Linked DNA regions of Drosophila melanogaster. The protein of the gene in region 1 interacts with the protein of each later gene in a pairwise test. Each region holds a gene or a part of one and is shown on either strand. Other genes may lie near its edges.

What was found. The genes of interacting proteins can lie anywhere in the genome.
Region 2: the proteins of jigr1 (region 1) and emp interact in a two-hybrid assay, tested with the Drosophila melanogaster proteins (one large-scale study listed by BioGRID).
Region 3: the proteins of jigr1 (region 1) and Prosbeta4 interact in a two-hybrid assay, tested with the Drosophila melanogaster proteins (one large-scale study listed by BioGRID).

Annotation. Positions count from the first base shown.
Region 1 is NT_033777.3:25,635,406-25,641,920, reverse strand, and holds the start of jigr1 (jing interacting gene regulatory 1), read right to left. Parts: upstream 4,079-6,515; 5' UTR 3,849-4,078; exon of another isoform or gene 3,392-3,848; intron 2,129-3,391; exon of another isoform or gene 1,968-2,128; intron 1-1,967.
Region 2 is NT_033778.4:24,980,892-24,986,500, reverse strand, and holds the start of emp (epithelial membrane protein), read left to right. Parts: upstream 1-1,706; 5' UTR 1,707-1,826; coding exon 1,827-1,851; exon of another isoform or gene 1,852-1,942; intron 1,943-1,998; exon of another isoform or gene 1,999-2,120; intron 2,121-3,296; exon of another isoform or gene 3,297-3,474; intron 3,475-5,342; exon of another isoform or gene 5,343-5,501; intron 5,502-5,609.
Region 3 is NT_033779.5:16,729,777-16,733,899, forward strand, and holds Prosbeta4 (proteasome beta4 subunit), read right to left. Parts: upstream 2,358-4,123; 5' UTR 2,258-2,357; coding exon 2,167-2,257; intron 2,093-2,166; coding exon 1,867-2,092; intron 1,802-1,866; coding exon 1,513-1,801; 3' UTR 1,404-1,512; downstream 1-1,403. Other genes in the region: Tsen2 (tRNA splicing endonuclease subunit 2), read left to right, coding at 2-440, 495-757; CG17996 (uncharacterized protein), read right to left, coding at 775-1,079, 1,133-1,184; Nubp1 (NUBP iron-sulfur cluster assembly factor 1), read left to right, coding at 2,856-3,791; glu (gluon), read right to left, coding at 4,021-4,123.

The DNA.
Region 1 (6,515 bases):
TTCAGTGGCTCACAATCTGGGCGCTGAAGAATCGGGCTTGTTGCCAAGGAGTCTTCGGTCTAATAGCTAATGATCGGCGGTAAATATGCGCCATCTTAATCCCCCCGTCGTACCCTGATCATCAGCATCTTTAAAGTGAACGAAATCCCGAAGACCGAATGGGGCCAAGTTCTCACACAAATTAAAATTGCTATTCTCTTTTTATTTTCGGGCCGCTTCTACGCAAATGTGTAGGGTATGGGTTGCGGCATGGGATGTTCCGAATGGCATCTCATCGAGAAGAATTTAAGCCTCAAATTTCGCAGAGGGGAGACCGAGCTAAGCAAATTTTAAGCTGGTGCTTCATAGTTATATGGGGCATTGCCTATACATGCATGTGTTCATATGTATGTATGTGTATATGTGTAAACAAACGGGTATATGTTTGCCCCCTGTTAGGTATTCGATAGCGCCAATTTGATATGGCGGCCAGGAGCACAAATTAAGTTTCCCAGAAACGAAGAATACTACCTGAACAGCGTAGAATCCCCATTCCATTCTTCTGGCACTGGCAGTAGAGTGTTATCTTCCTTGGCTGCGAGTTTTATGTCTGCTCAGATCGTAAAGCTGTTAGCGACGCTATAAGGAAGAGAATCTCTCAAAAAGAAAGTTGGCAACAACGCAAATAAACTATGTAAAGTGGCTTCTTCAATGGAGAAAGAAGCCAATGCGAATAAGATGTTGCCGCAGGAACTTCATTTTGCTCAGCAGTGTTTTTTAATGCCCCTCAAGATAGTTAAAGGAAATTAATGAGTAGTAAAAGCGAAACGGACGGGCCAAGTTGCCAAAGAGAGTCACTCGATCCAACCACTCAGAGGCCACAAAAGCGAAATCAATATCCAATCATTAATCGTTAACTAATTCCATGAATTCTGCCCGACTTTGGGATCCCGGGTCCAGATTTTTTGGTCAGGTCCGTCTGTATTCGTTCCCATTTACCAAGTTCCAAAAACGCAACCAGACATGCCACACTAAAGACATATATTTATGCCCTGAAAGCAACTTTTGGCGTATTTAGAACAGCAACAACAACAAACAGCGGCAAAAAAACAGAAATATCAAGATAAAAATATTTTTTCGGGCGGCCCTTTGTGGCTCTTCGATGGGACAGTGGCTACACTGCCAAATATTACCCAGTCATAACGGTCAAATAAGATAATTAATAACCTCGCCAAATTTGAATAAATAATTACATATAAATTGAATAGACTGGAACCTTGAAACTATCTTTGCACCTATCAAAGTGATTTTAGTTAAGGTATGTCATGTCAATATTAGTCTTGATTGTTTCCGGTGTATTGGCCCGCCTAAACCAAGTATTTGCTGATTGCGGCTTTGTTGTTGTTATTGTCGTGGCGCGTCTCAAGTCTGGAGTCGTCTCTTTGGGCTCTCTTAAGGGATCTTCTTCTGGGATCTGGGACTTCCTCCCTCCACACACGCGTTTTGAATTCGATTTGCTGATTGCCGTTTGCTTCTTGGCGAGATTTCGATTTCGTCGGCAACAACAGCAACGACGAGCCTCGACCATGAAACAATTTTATATTTTTGTGCAGAAAAAACGAAGATCAATAAAATTTTACCGACAACTGTATTTCGCTCAGACATCGGAGTATAGGGCCCTAAAATTAGTGACCAAATTGTCAAAGTGTGGGCTTTTGGGAGGGGGTGTGGGTCACATTTTTGGTTACAGTAATCAGGACAGAATCGAGCAAAAAGAAATTGAAACTAAGCAGCTGGTAAAAATTTGATCTTAATTTTTTGTGCGCTTCGGTTTTGTAGACTCCGAAAGAGCTACAAAACAAAGTGTTGAAATTTATTTAGGGAATGTGGAGCTTTGTTGCGTTAGAAGGTTATGTTCACTCCATGGGAAACTAATGTGGCAAAAGACAGATTGGGACTGATTGATATGGACTACGATAAATGCTTACATGACCCATGAATTGTTATAATTAATAGTATAGGAAAGAAATGAGTGTATAAATAATATTTCACATCAAGAAAGTAGTTTTACTGCAGCATTTTCCTTGATTTCCTATTATCTACATTTGAGTTGAAAAGGTCCAGAAGTTTTGCCTATCAACTGTGAACTAAAAACACACAAAAAGAAAGTTGCCCCTAGGCCTTGTGCATAATTCTGTAGAAAAGCGAGAAACAAGGAGGCTTTGTAAAAAATGGGGATGAGAAGAGAGGGCGCCGTGTGAGTTCCTGCAGAATCCGCTGCAAGAAAGGTGCTCCAACAACAACAAAAACAAAAATGGCAATTCCCAGAAACGAGAGTGTGTGGGAGGTGGAGAAGGTGAAGATGGAGAATTCTTCCAAAGGAGCAAGAAGAGCAAAGAATAGGGGCCGTCACTAATGAATTTGTATGCAGAGACCGCAATGATTTGGCACAAAAACAAAAGCAACAGTAACGGAAATGCGAGGATTAAGAAAAAAAAGGAAAACGCGGGTCCAACGAACAACATTTTGTGAAATTAGTGCAGACAGTCGAAAAACGCACCTTTTATGTTTTGTAGCCTCTCTTCACATTTTACGATTGCCAGTTGTTTCTTTTTCCATGATTTTTGATTTATGCAAAAGCAATAAAAATTATTATAATGAAGGCGCTGACATGGCTGATGGCCAGAGCAAAAAGCGTGCACTGAGAGAAATAGCTTATACGAATCATCATCAAAGTTCGTCAAAATGATTATTCAATCAATCGGTTTCTTGAAGAAAGTGTGAAGATTTTGAAAAATAAATAAGTTATCCTGGTTTAATATTTAGTTTAAATACTTTTTAAAAACTACAACTGCCATTCTAATTTAAATTAAGATCCTCACATTTTATGTCTGTGTAGGCGAAGAACAGAGTTGGCGACACGTGATGATGGTAGGGATAAGGAGAAGAACTGGGGGCGATGACGATGCTTATGTTCCTTGTCCGTTACTTTAACTTTACTTGCTCTTTCTCCCGCACTGGGGCTCATGTTAAAAAACAAATAAAAGTTCAACAAAAAAGAGCGCGAAGAGAATGAGTCAGAATGTTTGTTTGACTTCTGCACAAAGAATGGCTTCTTATTTCTTTGTGCTTCTGCAAAAGCACATGTAAATAAATCAAAAGGCGACAGGAAAATCGCCATTTTCCCCGCCTATATGCACAATCATTTGGGCGCAAAAAGACTTTTTAGCAGAGCGCTTTAGTTTAACTTCCAACTATTAGCTATTTTGATGGTCAGCATAAATTCTTCACCTTTTTGCCGTAATTATCTGCAGGAGAGAGTCACTCCTCGCGGCTGCGCCCAAAAACGGTTAAACATAAAAAAACTAACGGCAGTTTTATAACGCTGGTCTTGGGAACTTGGGGAGATTACCTTTTGGGAGGCTGCGCCAAAAATGAGCGGAAAATGCCCGCAAAAAGAGTGGGCGCTCAGAGATCCCCGAAGATGATACACAAGCAATCAAAAGAAATGCAACGGCCTCATCGCGCTCCTCATCCTTCTTCTCCTCCTTCCTCCTCTATTCCATCTTCACCCATTTCTTCCTGCACTTGCCGATGCACCGTTACGCGGAGTTGAGCCCGGGTTCAAGATCACCGCACCCAGCCAAATGTTTTTTCTGTTATTTTTTCCTTGATTTTTTCGGGCGCATTCTCCGCCTTGTCTCTTTGCACTTTTACACAGATTCTTTGGGGGATATTTCGTCGGTTTATGATGTTTCTTTTCCTTTAGTTGGTGTTTTTCTATTTTTTTTTTTTTGTGAGGGCACTTGGGACTAACGGTTCTGTTTGGTGAAGTTAACAAATAAAAGTAGCGCGCGCACTCAACTCACCGACAAACAAACACAAGCGCACAAAAATGTTTAACACACCATCGTCGTGCCGGAGGCTCAAGGCTTTAACTTCCTCGATCCGCAGTAACTTGGTCACTTTTTACTTTTATTTCTTTTGATCAGTAGTAGTCAGGAGTTGGAAGGCTCTTTTGAGACACAACCGTCGCCGCCGATGGATTGCGCGCAATTGAATTTCCTCCACAGCGGCGACTCAGCTCGTCGCCTCAACGAAAACGACTTCAGAACTCAGACTCGAATTTCTCTGCCGACGCCGGCAGAAGCAGCGGCTGCAAAAAGGAACGCAGCTCGCAGGGGTGGCAACTTTTAGATACCTACTACCTGCCTTTTAAGGGGCATAGAATGTATAAAGTAACACTTCAAGTCGTGGAGTCTGACGTTAGCTAGACATAAAATATAACAACTTAAGTATACATACATATGTGTATAAATTATACTTTTGTTTAAGGATTTTCATAGTGTATTGGTTTAAATTTAAATGCAGAATAAGATGCATAGCTATATCCTTAGCAACTCGTATGAACTCTCTTACTCTCGAAAAATAAAGGGTACCTCGATCTTTGTTCGCTCTCTGCGCCGAATCGCTTGATACTCTCCCAGAAAGGACCAAAGGTTTCCCTAACAAGGCTTCTGGAATGTCGTAGAACAGGGGGATGTTATGTCATACGAGAAAGAGACTGTCTAAATAAGGATGCAGCCACTGATTTTGAAGGATTTCAAAAGCCTCACCTAATAGATTTTTTTAGGATACTTCTAGAATAATTTATAATATATTTTTAAATTTAAGAGACATATTTAGATATGGAAAGTTCTGCGTAAAGGATACACTTTAAAAGATTTAATGTATATTTATGAAAGCAAATTCATTGCTGACTTACTATAGGTACATATCCCAACATCAGCAATTGTATCCTTCCGAATGCATAGAAGATCCCCTAGAAGCCCAAAAAAGAAGTTTTAACTAAGACTTAAAGCCCAAAAAATGTTGTCCGTCGAGTGAGGCCTTCTGTCAGCTAATGATCGCCCAGAGCAGGCTGGTAAAAGTTGCGAACCTTGGGCCCGGGGACAACTCCATTAGGGCGGCCCACATTCGGTGGCCAGTTGGGTTTACATTTGGTTGGCGAGCAGGTGCATCGGCGGCAAGAGTGCGACCGAGAGTCGCGAGGAAAGTTGCGGCGCGTGGCTAGAGATCGATGAAGAAACCAGAAGACGAAGACCCGCGCTGCCCGCATATCGCGCATCAGGACAATCGCTGAGGCACGAGGCATGTCCGGACACATCTGGAGTGGCACAGAGTCTCATAGTCACACCTTGAGCAGAGCTGATCGCTTAGCTATGAAAAAGATACCATGAAATTTATTACATTTCTTTCAACCAGATCCTTTTTAAGCTTGATCAAAGAACTAAGAACTATAAATCAATTAATGGCATTTAAGATCATTTGTAAGATCAATAACATATTTCGAAAATGAAACCAACAAAGGATTTAAGTTTACTAACTTTTTATTCGGCTTGTAATTGTGCTTTATGCTTATCTTCAATGTGTCTGTACTTATATAATGAGGACGGCTAATATTTCAGCTTTTTTGCAGCGCAGCATAAGAGTCGCAATTTAGCATAAATGAAAACTGAACTGAGATCGCCGATGGCCAGGGCATCATTAAACACATTAACAGACAACAGACGATGGCGATGGCAGGTGATGCCAAACAGAGACAGGTTGGCAAACTGACTGAGTGGCTAAATGACTGACGGTATGACTGACTGACGGACTGAATGACTGACTAACTGAAGGACCGACTAAGAGCGCGGCTGAACGATCCCAATGGCAACTGTACACACAAACGGGCTCGAGTCGTTGGGGACTTTTAATGGGCTTAACCCGTGCCTCGAGGTCTCTTCTCACCGCCGACTCCACCGCACTCCTTTGTTAATTACAAAGGATGTGCCACAGGACAACATCTGCCGAATGCCAATCGATTCCCCAGCCCCTGGATGCTTAACCCCTAAATAAGCAAGCTACATTTTGCATATAAATAAACCCATCTTTGCTTATAGTTACAATGGTTAGATGATATACATACTTACATTTAAAAGTACTGAAAACATACTTTTGTTTATTAATATAACACGATAGGTTTCAAATGTAGTGTATCATAAATTTTCAAGAGGTCAAAGTTTACTTGTTTAGAAACCCCTATCCTTAGTGGGTTAAGCTTTGGTTGTATTCCGCGCAGCTGTACCATCTGTTTCCAGATCCTTCTGATCCTTGCGGCTTACGCACTCTCCTGCTTCTTCTTCTACTTGGTCCCTTCCCATTTCTGCTCCTGTTTGCCTGAATTTTCCATTTCTATTGTCAGGACGAAGGTATCGCAGAACGCAGCCATCGAAGGCCAACTATCCAGCGGCGAAACTAGTTTGCCACCTTTTGCGTCTTTAAGAACCGGTAACGGTACAAAGGTGCTGCCCCTCCCACTTTCCTTTCGCCCATTTGCGAAGCGTTCGAAATGATGTTTTGATATTTTCTCAGTTTTGGGCCCCAAACAAACCATACCAAATGGTCTTATCTCGCCCATTTTGACGAGTGCCTGCCAAAAGGGAAAATCGGGTACTCAGCCATGGCATTTTCTCTCCCCATTACATTATCGT
Region 2 (5,609 bases), on another chromosome or scaffold:
AGCTAGAGTTAGAGCTAGAGCAATATCAGGTTTTCCAACCGTACTGCAGTTTTCCTGTCCAGATGTAAGTGCACGAATCTAGCGCATATTAGTTTCCGCCGCCACTTCCACTTCAAAGCAGCAATTAAAGACGGACTGCCTTGCGGAATTTGATTATCTGCGCACGGAGTTCGAGTTTGGCCCACTGCCACCGGTTGATCCACTTGCAAATTTTTGGTTTGCTGCGATTAGCTACATACTCGGGCCGGCCCACGCACTATCTGGCCGAGAACCTTACGGAACCGATTAGATTTGGCCCGTTTCGCGGCGATCCGATCTGCGCTGGGATTAGAGAGCGGGCCTGGAACTGGGACTGGTTCTCCGCTGGACTGGACTGTGCGTACTGCCGACCAAACAAGTTATTACTACGACGTCGGAATCGGACGGAATCAGTTCGAGCTGGGCAACTGAACTGAGCAATGCCAGCAGAGCAGTCGCTCCTCTTTCCTCATTCTTTGCTGTCGCAGTTGCCGTCGCTGCATAGGTCGACGCCGCTGCCGCCGCACTGATAACCGGGCAGGCGGTCAGCTATGATTGCAGATTACCGCTGGACGGAGCCGGCGCCGACTGCGCTGTCGAGAAATCAAGAAATCGGGATCCCTTGTTTACTACGTAGCAGCTTTGTGCGTACCCGCGAGACAAAGTGCAAAGCAAATCGTCAAAACAATGAATCCACTCGGAGCATTATATAAGATGTACCAAACCTCCAGCTGCTCGTTCCGCTCCAGCTTCGTCTGCGCATCATTATTATTGAATCAGAATGGATTCGTTAAGGAGGAGGCTCAGAAACGGAGGCTTTATAGATTTCCTTTAAAAAGTGTAAATAAACCAGTCGATGTTTTGTTTTCGTTTTGATTTTATATTATGGCACGCTGATGCAAATATTTAAAAAGTCCCATAACTATTTTTAGGTGTGCGCTGTCGCCAAAACAATTTAAATATCCCTTAAGTACTTGGGTTCCCTTTACCCATGGACCTGCATTTGGTTTACCCAAGTAATTAACGGCGGTGAAATGCACTCTGAGAACTGCGACGAATACACAAATGCTGAATATGCTTTCATATCTTGCTCTCGTTTGTAATTTTGAGACGAGGACGTATTTAAACTGGCTTATCGCGCCCCTTCTTGGATTATTGAGATGGCAGAAAGGCCGGAAGATCGCAAATACCCCCGCCGGAGCCGTGTTATTGAACCCCAAGTGTAAATGAGCTTAGCTTTATCAATTCAAGTATTCCGCCGTTTCAAAACGTCCCTTTTCCGAAATGCCTGCCTATTGCCCACCTCATCGGGTTTCGCATCAGCACAGTTGATAGCCGCTCTGAACTTTTTGTTTTCCTCTGATCGGTTGACGCGCACGGGTATTCAATCTCTTAATCTGTCGTGCTAGCTACTGGCCCCTCAATTTCGCAGACCTGCCTGAAATATTAACCTGAGCACTCTCGACGGACCAGTTAATTGTGCGGTGTTCAAGTTCGGCTGACAGCTCAAGGGGCTAAATGAGTTACTTAAACTTGTTTTAGGGTCTCCCGTAAGCCGCCCTCGACAGATGTTTGCTCGTGCCGGTTATTATCGGCTAGTGCCCACTACCCTTCGACCGCTTACAGGAATCTTATCACCCGAGTGAGCTGCCTTATCAACCCGGTTGCCAGGCAGTAAAGTGCCAAACAATTCACAAACACAATCGAATATCAGAACACCAGTACACTGTAGTGAAGCCAAACAGTTGGGAGAGTGCTCAAAACCCTTTGGAACTCTTGAAATCTTAATGGAACTCTGATCGTTGGCCATGCAGTTGGACGACATTCTGCATAGTAAGTCAGAAATGGAATCATTACAGAAGTTAGACTTGGTACTGCTTTCGGGGCTATGATGACACGCCATCGGAGCTGAATTAGCATATGCGTACGCCGTTGTTGTTTTCGCGGTGTTTTTGTTATTATTTATTGCATCATTTACAGCAACAAATGCGCCACTTTGTACGACAGTTTACATAAACAGAAAGGTCGCATGCAACCCGGTTAGCCTTATTGGCATGCAAAGTCACCGCGGAGTCAAGCTTCGGATACGGGTCTCCATTAAGGTGATTATGTGTGGTTGGACTTGGCGTGGAATGTCACAAGCATTGGGGCGATATTGTCTTGGCCTACCTTCTATGTACGTACTACAAAGAAATGTAGAATTATATTTATATTAGTGTGTGACGATTGCCCAAGAGTTAAGGCTTATATTGGATCATGTTATATGTTATGTTATATATTATATAATGCAACCAGATGCGCTACCGCCATGCAACTGAAAGTCCACTATATTTTCAGGGTGGACTTTAGATTTTTCTATGTGCCCGTTGTATTTTCCGTTCTTATAATATTAGATTTTATAATTTGTCTGGGAAAACAGCTTACTTGTTTATTTAGCAAGTCCCAGTTTATGCAGAAGAAGCGATTCACCAGCCGGAATTTCTCCAGCTGTTTACCAAGAAGTCCGTGCATGAAAAGAAAACGTGGGCAATTCATTGAATCGCATTAGCTTTATTGATTTCCCCTTGTTGATTGATTATGTAAATACAGCAAGTTTCTGACGCCAGTTTTTTCCACAGCTGAATCGCGCATATCCTAGACTTCGCTTTGGCGAGATTTTGATTCTGGGCAGGCAGCAAAGAAACGCTTCGCAATGCAGACAAAAAGCTCCATCGACAATAACAATAATTTGAGATCGACGGAGCTGTCAAATTTGCATACATTCTGCATACTGCAACCTGTCGTCGATCGTGGATGTGGTTATTGTGCTGAGTTTGGCAACCAACCCGTGAGTCACCTGCCACAACAACCACAACCGCGAGAGCACTAACGACAGATATCATAATCCCGCGAGTGGACGAGTGTGTTGGTGTGGCAATCAGTGATATTTTTGGAGTTAGTAGCATAAAACGAAACGCGCAACGCAACAAAACGAAAGACTTCAATGCAAGGCAAGGCAACAAACTCGTTTTATCAGCCTGGTCCAAACATTGGCAACCACATGGACCGCCTCGCCCGATGCCGATCCGCTCGTGCTTTGATCGCATGCGTTGCACTAGCAAAACCCAAAAGCTCCCGCTTGCTCACTCTCGCTTTTGCATTGCTACCCACCTGCCGGGCTGGGGGTTTCGCCTACCTGTTTATCAGGTTTTCCAGTTGTGCTTTGTCGCAACGCGAAGCCGAGCTTTCGCCGCCTGAACATCTTACGATCTTACGTTGGGGGGCCACTTGAAGACGGCGACTTCAGTTACTTGACGGCACTGCGAGCGTTCGAGTCGTTAACGATTTTTACCGGCGGTTGTTGCTTAACGTTCCCTGCTCACCGATCAACGATTACCTTCCTCGTTATAGCCCGGGCCCAAGAATCTTGGCTTGTACATCGGACCGCCGCAAGTCCGTGTTACCGTCAAAAACAGTGTGAGTGAGTGAGTTGGCATGGCTATTTGGAAATGCCTGTGGTTTCCAGCCCGTCCAGCCCGAATCAAACCTGCCGCACCAGATACGAGGCACCAGTGGCAGTAAGAGAGTGTTGGGGCAGCAGTGCGAGCCGCATTCCTAGGATTTGCCTGACTACAGCTGAGTTCAATTATTGTTTCTGCCCCGATCGGTAGCAGACCCTTGGTCCCCGTTCCACGGTCCGAGTACGAATCCGCATCCCAGTCACCAACTTCGACTCCAATCAGAGCGCTGGTTAAGCAAGACCTTGCCCAGTCAGCCAAAATGAAACCACTTCGACAGCGAGTTCGCTTAGCAGCGCTACAAAAGCGGAAAATCATTGAATTATGCTTGGGGGCTATGATTTTTCAGTGTTTGTGTTTTTATTTCTGCTTCGGTTTCTGTGCTGCCTCCGCGTCTAAACGCTGTCTGCGGCCCTGCCAAAAGCGCATTTGATGTACGTGCATAGTTTTATGATTACTTGTGTGGAAAAAGTGAAATTTCGCTCTGCACTTCACTCGGGCTGCCACGAAGCAGCGACTCACAGCGAAATCAAATAAAAAGCAAAGCCAAACACACATTTACGAGACGCGAGATCCGAAATTAAGCATGCGCAGGCAAGAAAACCTAAGATAAATACTTATAAATAAATGAACAGGGGCCAGCCAGCTTTTGACCACATAACGAAGACGATTATGTGAAGGTTGCAGCAGCAAAGAGCTTTGGGCCATCTCCGTCATCAGGTCGGTTTGCCCTACCGCTGTGCCCAGTTGATCATCTAATTGAGGTGACAATTGGGTGGCTTTGTCTTAGCCAACTGTTGACACATTTCACTGAGAAAGCCATCGCACGCTTCGCACTCCGAAGTCCCCTGTCTCTCCCACGGCGGAACTGACCCACTGAAAGTCCAAGATGAACCACTTCAGTCCGCACATGTCTGTCACGCCATTGACGACGACACCAACATGGTTTAAGTCCTAGATGTAAAACCCATTTCGTTGCGTATTATCAAATGCAGCACGGCACGACAAAACGGCAAGTGAATTGTCATCCGCTGGCATACTTTTTTGGACGGTCAGTGTCACATTGTCCATAATCAGCGGGATCATATAAAGAGGGGTCGGTCCGAAGTTTCAAATACTCTTTAAAGCTGTGTTTGGGAATTTTCTGGAGCTTTGATTGAAAACCCGTGGAAAATCTTTTTCCCTACAAAGCCCCGATAGAGGCAAGAAATAGTGCAGACATCTTGGTTGACAGTGACTTGTAGGAGTGCAACTCTGAATGTAATACCCTCCGCAAGGGTAGCGTCTCACAATTTGGGTCAGGGTAATTGCCTCCACTAAACAGCTACTACCGCTTGTATTTATTTGTGCAACACTTTTTCACTGCGTTTAAATTATGAGACGATTCAGCTCGATCTCTGCGCCACCAAGCTGATCAAAGCCGAGGAGCGGATGGCTTCGCCGCAATACCGCTTTCGGCTCAGCTCATACCAAACGTGTGTTTAGAAAGTAAGTTTCTATTGAAGTTGGATTCTGGCCAGGCGATTTGCGTTAGGAAGCCAGCAGCTGCTAATTGAACAGCCACAGCAAGTGAAATCAAAAATAAAACAAGCCATTACATCAGAAATCGCAGTTGGATGGAATGCCGAGAAGCGCTATTGTTATGGAAAGGTGTTGCTGGGTCTAGGGTTTCCCGTTTCACAGATTTGCATACTTCGCGGCGAGCTCGACGCTGATAAGAGTCGCTCAAGTTCTGGGTAAACACTTGGCAACGCTGAGTCATACGGTCTGTGTAAACATTTGGGCCCGACGGGTACTGATTCCGAGCAGTGAGCAGGCTGCACGGTTGCAGTCGTTATTCGGAACAAAGCAGCCCAGTGGGGCGTGAACGCAGAGCCCAATTAGCAGGCAAAGAGCCAAACAACTGAAGGCATGGGTAGCCAAATCCAAATTGGAAATCACTGATTAATGGCCTGACCGACCAGTGTCGCCGAAAATTCATTTGAGGTGAAATAATTATTATTATTATATTATGGTTAATTAGTATTCAATGGGCATCGGTATCGGCATCGGCAACGTTAGCGGCGATGCCAACAATGGTGGATCCAATAGCCA
Region 3 (4,123 bases), on another chromosome or scaffold:
AATGCAGTTTACATTTGAGTGCAAAAGAAAGCGCTGCTTTAATAAGAATGCGAATTTCACGCCTCTTCCAAGTGGACAGGATGGCGAACGTTACAAGGGAAGATTTACAGGACTATCCGTCGAGATAGTTGATCCCGAACAGGCTAAATCCCTGCACGATAATGGTTGTTTTGGCAAGGGAAGCAAATCTCGCGGAGGACCAGCAAGTGGAGACGAGAACGAAACCCTGTTTCTCGGAATGGAAGAGTCTTGCTTCCTGGCCCACTATTTAAATGTTTTAGATATAACCAACTCAGCTGGTTATTTAATGGACTTCTGCATGTTTGTGGAGGTCGCCAAAGAGCACAATGAGAAATTTGTTGAGAACTTGGCCAGCTATGTGTATTTGAAGTCCAAGAATTGGGTCATCAAGAGCGGTATTAAGTTCGGCGGTGATTTTCGTAAGTTCTTAACTGAAGAGCTGCGAAATATATATACTAACTTTCCTTTTTTAGTTATCTACAAGCAAAGTCCTCGATTGTACCATGCCAGCTTTTTGGTCATTGTGCAAAAGCCTGGTGATACGGATCACTATCAATCAAAGAACTTGAAGGGTGTTCAACGCGTGGCAGAAACTTCTGATAAGGATGTGCTGCTCCTGACTGTCCAACCGCCTAAGAAGATAAGCTCTTCCAGGGATTTGCAGGAAGCCACAGTAACAGAGACTATTGTGCGGCGTTTTAATTACTTAACTTTTGTACAAAGCAAACAACAATAAGGAACTACTCAGGGACTCTACAACTTCTCCAGCCGGTGCTTCTTGGGTATGCCAGTGCTGCGATAGTCGGCGCGCTCCTGCAGATATATCTGCTTGCACTCCTCCTTGAAGGCTTCGTTCTGATACCACTGGGTGAGGCATTCCTTCAGGGCTGAGTTCTGTTTCCGACAGGTGGCCACCATCAGTATACTGCTGGCCTTGCAGCACTCCTGGAAGTCGGCCACCTCCTTTGAGCAGAACTCCGTCTTGGCACGATCGCGCATTATCTTGGGTATCAGCACTTCGCGCTCCACCTTGCGCAACCTAGTATCATTTGGATCGCCTAGCAAGGGCAGTGTCAGTTGGTGGTCATATTCGATTATTCTGAGGACTCACCCAGTCCATGGGGATTGTGGGGATCCACGGCTGGCTGTTGTTCAAGGCTCATATTGTGTTAAAAATACTATTTATTTTGTATAACAACTTTTAGAGTGACTGCCACCGGTGCGATGAAAAATACTAGGGATATAAAAATACCACGAGTATACTAAAATTAGATTCATTTTTAAGATATAAAATATAATTTTATAATTCGATTTCTTGAATATTGAAATTACTTAATGATCGTCTAGAACACAAAATTTGCCCGACTGATCGCTAATTCAATAATATATTTTTTTTTAAACCGATAAACCACCTTCGTGTATTAAATTAGCCAAGAATCCAGACGCATTTTATTACAAAACTGCATTTTAAATGCTTAAATCAAAACCTAACTAAGCGGCCAGGCTAGCAGCGCTGATTGGCTCCAAATCTCGCACACCATCCTTGTCCACGACGGCGACGGTGAAGTTCTTGAGGTTGACGACCAGGCGCTTCTGGATTTCGGCAATGCACTTCTTGAAGACGTCGTAGGCCTCCGCCTGGGTTATATTGGGGTGCCAGTATCGGTCATAGATGCTGGATGCGAAGATCGCACCATAGCCATGACCGGCGTAATTCACAGGCAGTGCATTGGCCAAATAGTCAATGAAGGTGAGCTCCGGACCCGCGTTGGGATCGTAGCTTTGGGGAGAAGAAACAGATTAGGCACGGAAAGCAAATGGATTGACTGATCTCATGATCCTTACCCGGCCACAAACATGAACACTTGGTAGGGCGTGCGACTGCGAAGATATTCGGCCAGATTCTTGCGAGTAAAATGAGCCGATTCACGTGGACTTAAATCGTAGCCATTGCGCATCTTGTACAACGCTATGTTCTTCGAAATGAATTCGGTAAATTGCTCCGTGTCGCCCGATTCGCCGACGGTTGAAATAAGCAGACTATCCGACACCTTGTGGATTTTGTTCTGATCTGCAATGGAAATTCAAGGAGACTAACGAAATGAGTCCCAAGCCGCCAAGAAAATGAGCACCATTTGGGCTTACCCTCTTTCATCACTATAATGGATCGGGCGTGGGTGGTGTCCGCCGCCAGCATCACGAAGTCAGGGCCCTTGATACCCAGTAGAGTCTCCATGTTGCAATTATATTTATACTTTCGGGGTTTTTTAACGAAAATTACAAGTTGTTTGTGAGTTGCCGAATGCGATGACAAGCAAGTTAAATGCAGAGTGGCCGTATGCTGGGCGGCTAAAAATACCGCTATTCTGAAAAGATACTAATAAATATAAGCTAACACATATTTATAATTTTATTTTATATTTATTATTTATCATTTTAAATTAACTTAATTATACTTAATTTTCAATTATACCTAATTGGTATGATATTCAAATCTTATAAGTTTACTTGCTTACTAAAATTAAAATTAAAATTATTTCAATGTTTCAACTTTGTCTAAATAAAAAAAAACTTTATTTTTAATAAACCCATTTTTGTTTCCTTTAATATGAATATGAATATTTACATATACATAAAAATTATGTTATATAAATTATAATTATAAATTAAATTATTAATAAAATTGAATATCTTAGTTATATATTATTTTTAATTTTAATCGCAGTTAATCAACACTTGTTGAGTGCCCGGTTATAACTTGGCCACACTGTTCCCTTGTTATCATTTCATTTCACAATTAGTTTACGGAATTCGAACTATTGAAACTAAGAGCCATGCAGGCACCACCTCCGGAACACTGTCCTGGCGTCGAGAGCGAGGAGGCGGGCAAGGGAAGTGCCTGTTCGGGCTGCCCCAACCAAGGACTCTGCAGCGATCCCAACAAGAAACTCGAAGATCCCGGCAAGGCTTTGGTGGTCGAATCCATGAAAGATGTCAAACACAAGCTGCTGATCCTGTCCGGGAAAGGCGGCGTTGGCAAGAGCACGGTAACCAGCTTGCTAACCCGCTATCTGGCCAGAAGTAATCCGGACAGTAACTTCGGCGTGCTTGATATCGACATTTGCGGTCCATCGCAACCGCGTTTGATGGGCGCCCTGGGGGAGAGTGTCCACCAGTCTGGGTACGGCTGGTCACCTGTGGGAATCGAAGACAACGTGTGTCTGATGTCCATCGGATTTCTTCTGGGCTCTGTGGACGATGCCATTATTTGGCGAGGACCCAAGAAGAATGGCATGATCAGGCAGTTTCTGAGCGAGGTGGACTGGGGAAATCTGGATCTCCTGCTACTGGACACACCACCTGGAACTTCCGATGAGCACCTGTCTGTGGTTTCGTACCTGAAAGACGACGCCAACCCGGAGTCCCTGCGCGCCGTGATGGTGACCACTCCACAGGAGGTGTCTCTGCTGGACGTGCGCAAGGAGATCAACTTTTGTAAAAAGCAAAATATCCCCATTGTGGGCGTGATCGAGAATATGAGCAGTTTCCGTTGCGGCCATTGTGGAAATAGCTCCGAAATCTTTCCAGCCAAAACCGGAGGAGCCGCTGCCATGTGCGCCGAAATGGGAATCCCGCTGTTGGGCTCCCTGCCTCTGGATCAACAGATATCCAAAGCCTGCGATTCTGGCGAGGATTTAACTGAGTTTAAGAATGTCACCACTGAGGCGCTGGAAGGAATTTGCTCAAAGATTATGGCCAGCTTTAGTTAAGAATAAGTTAAAGACCACTCAGTTTTTAAATAAAAAAAAAGATGCCTGTACAATTTTATGTAACATTTATTATTAAGCATTGAAAGGATAATACCAATTGGAAATACCGATTCACCTGAGGTCATCAAATTACGTCTCGGTCTTTACCAGAAATTAGATTACCAGGCAGTTTACAACATGCCCCTTTACAGGATAAGAAAACATTCTACAATATTGAAGTAGGTTGGAGTTAAACATTAAGTATGGCTGGGGAAGATGGCGGGCTTGCTAGGGACACATCCGTGGTTACTCTTCCCGTGGCATCTGACGGTTGAGCAGCAACCTCAGTGGCG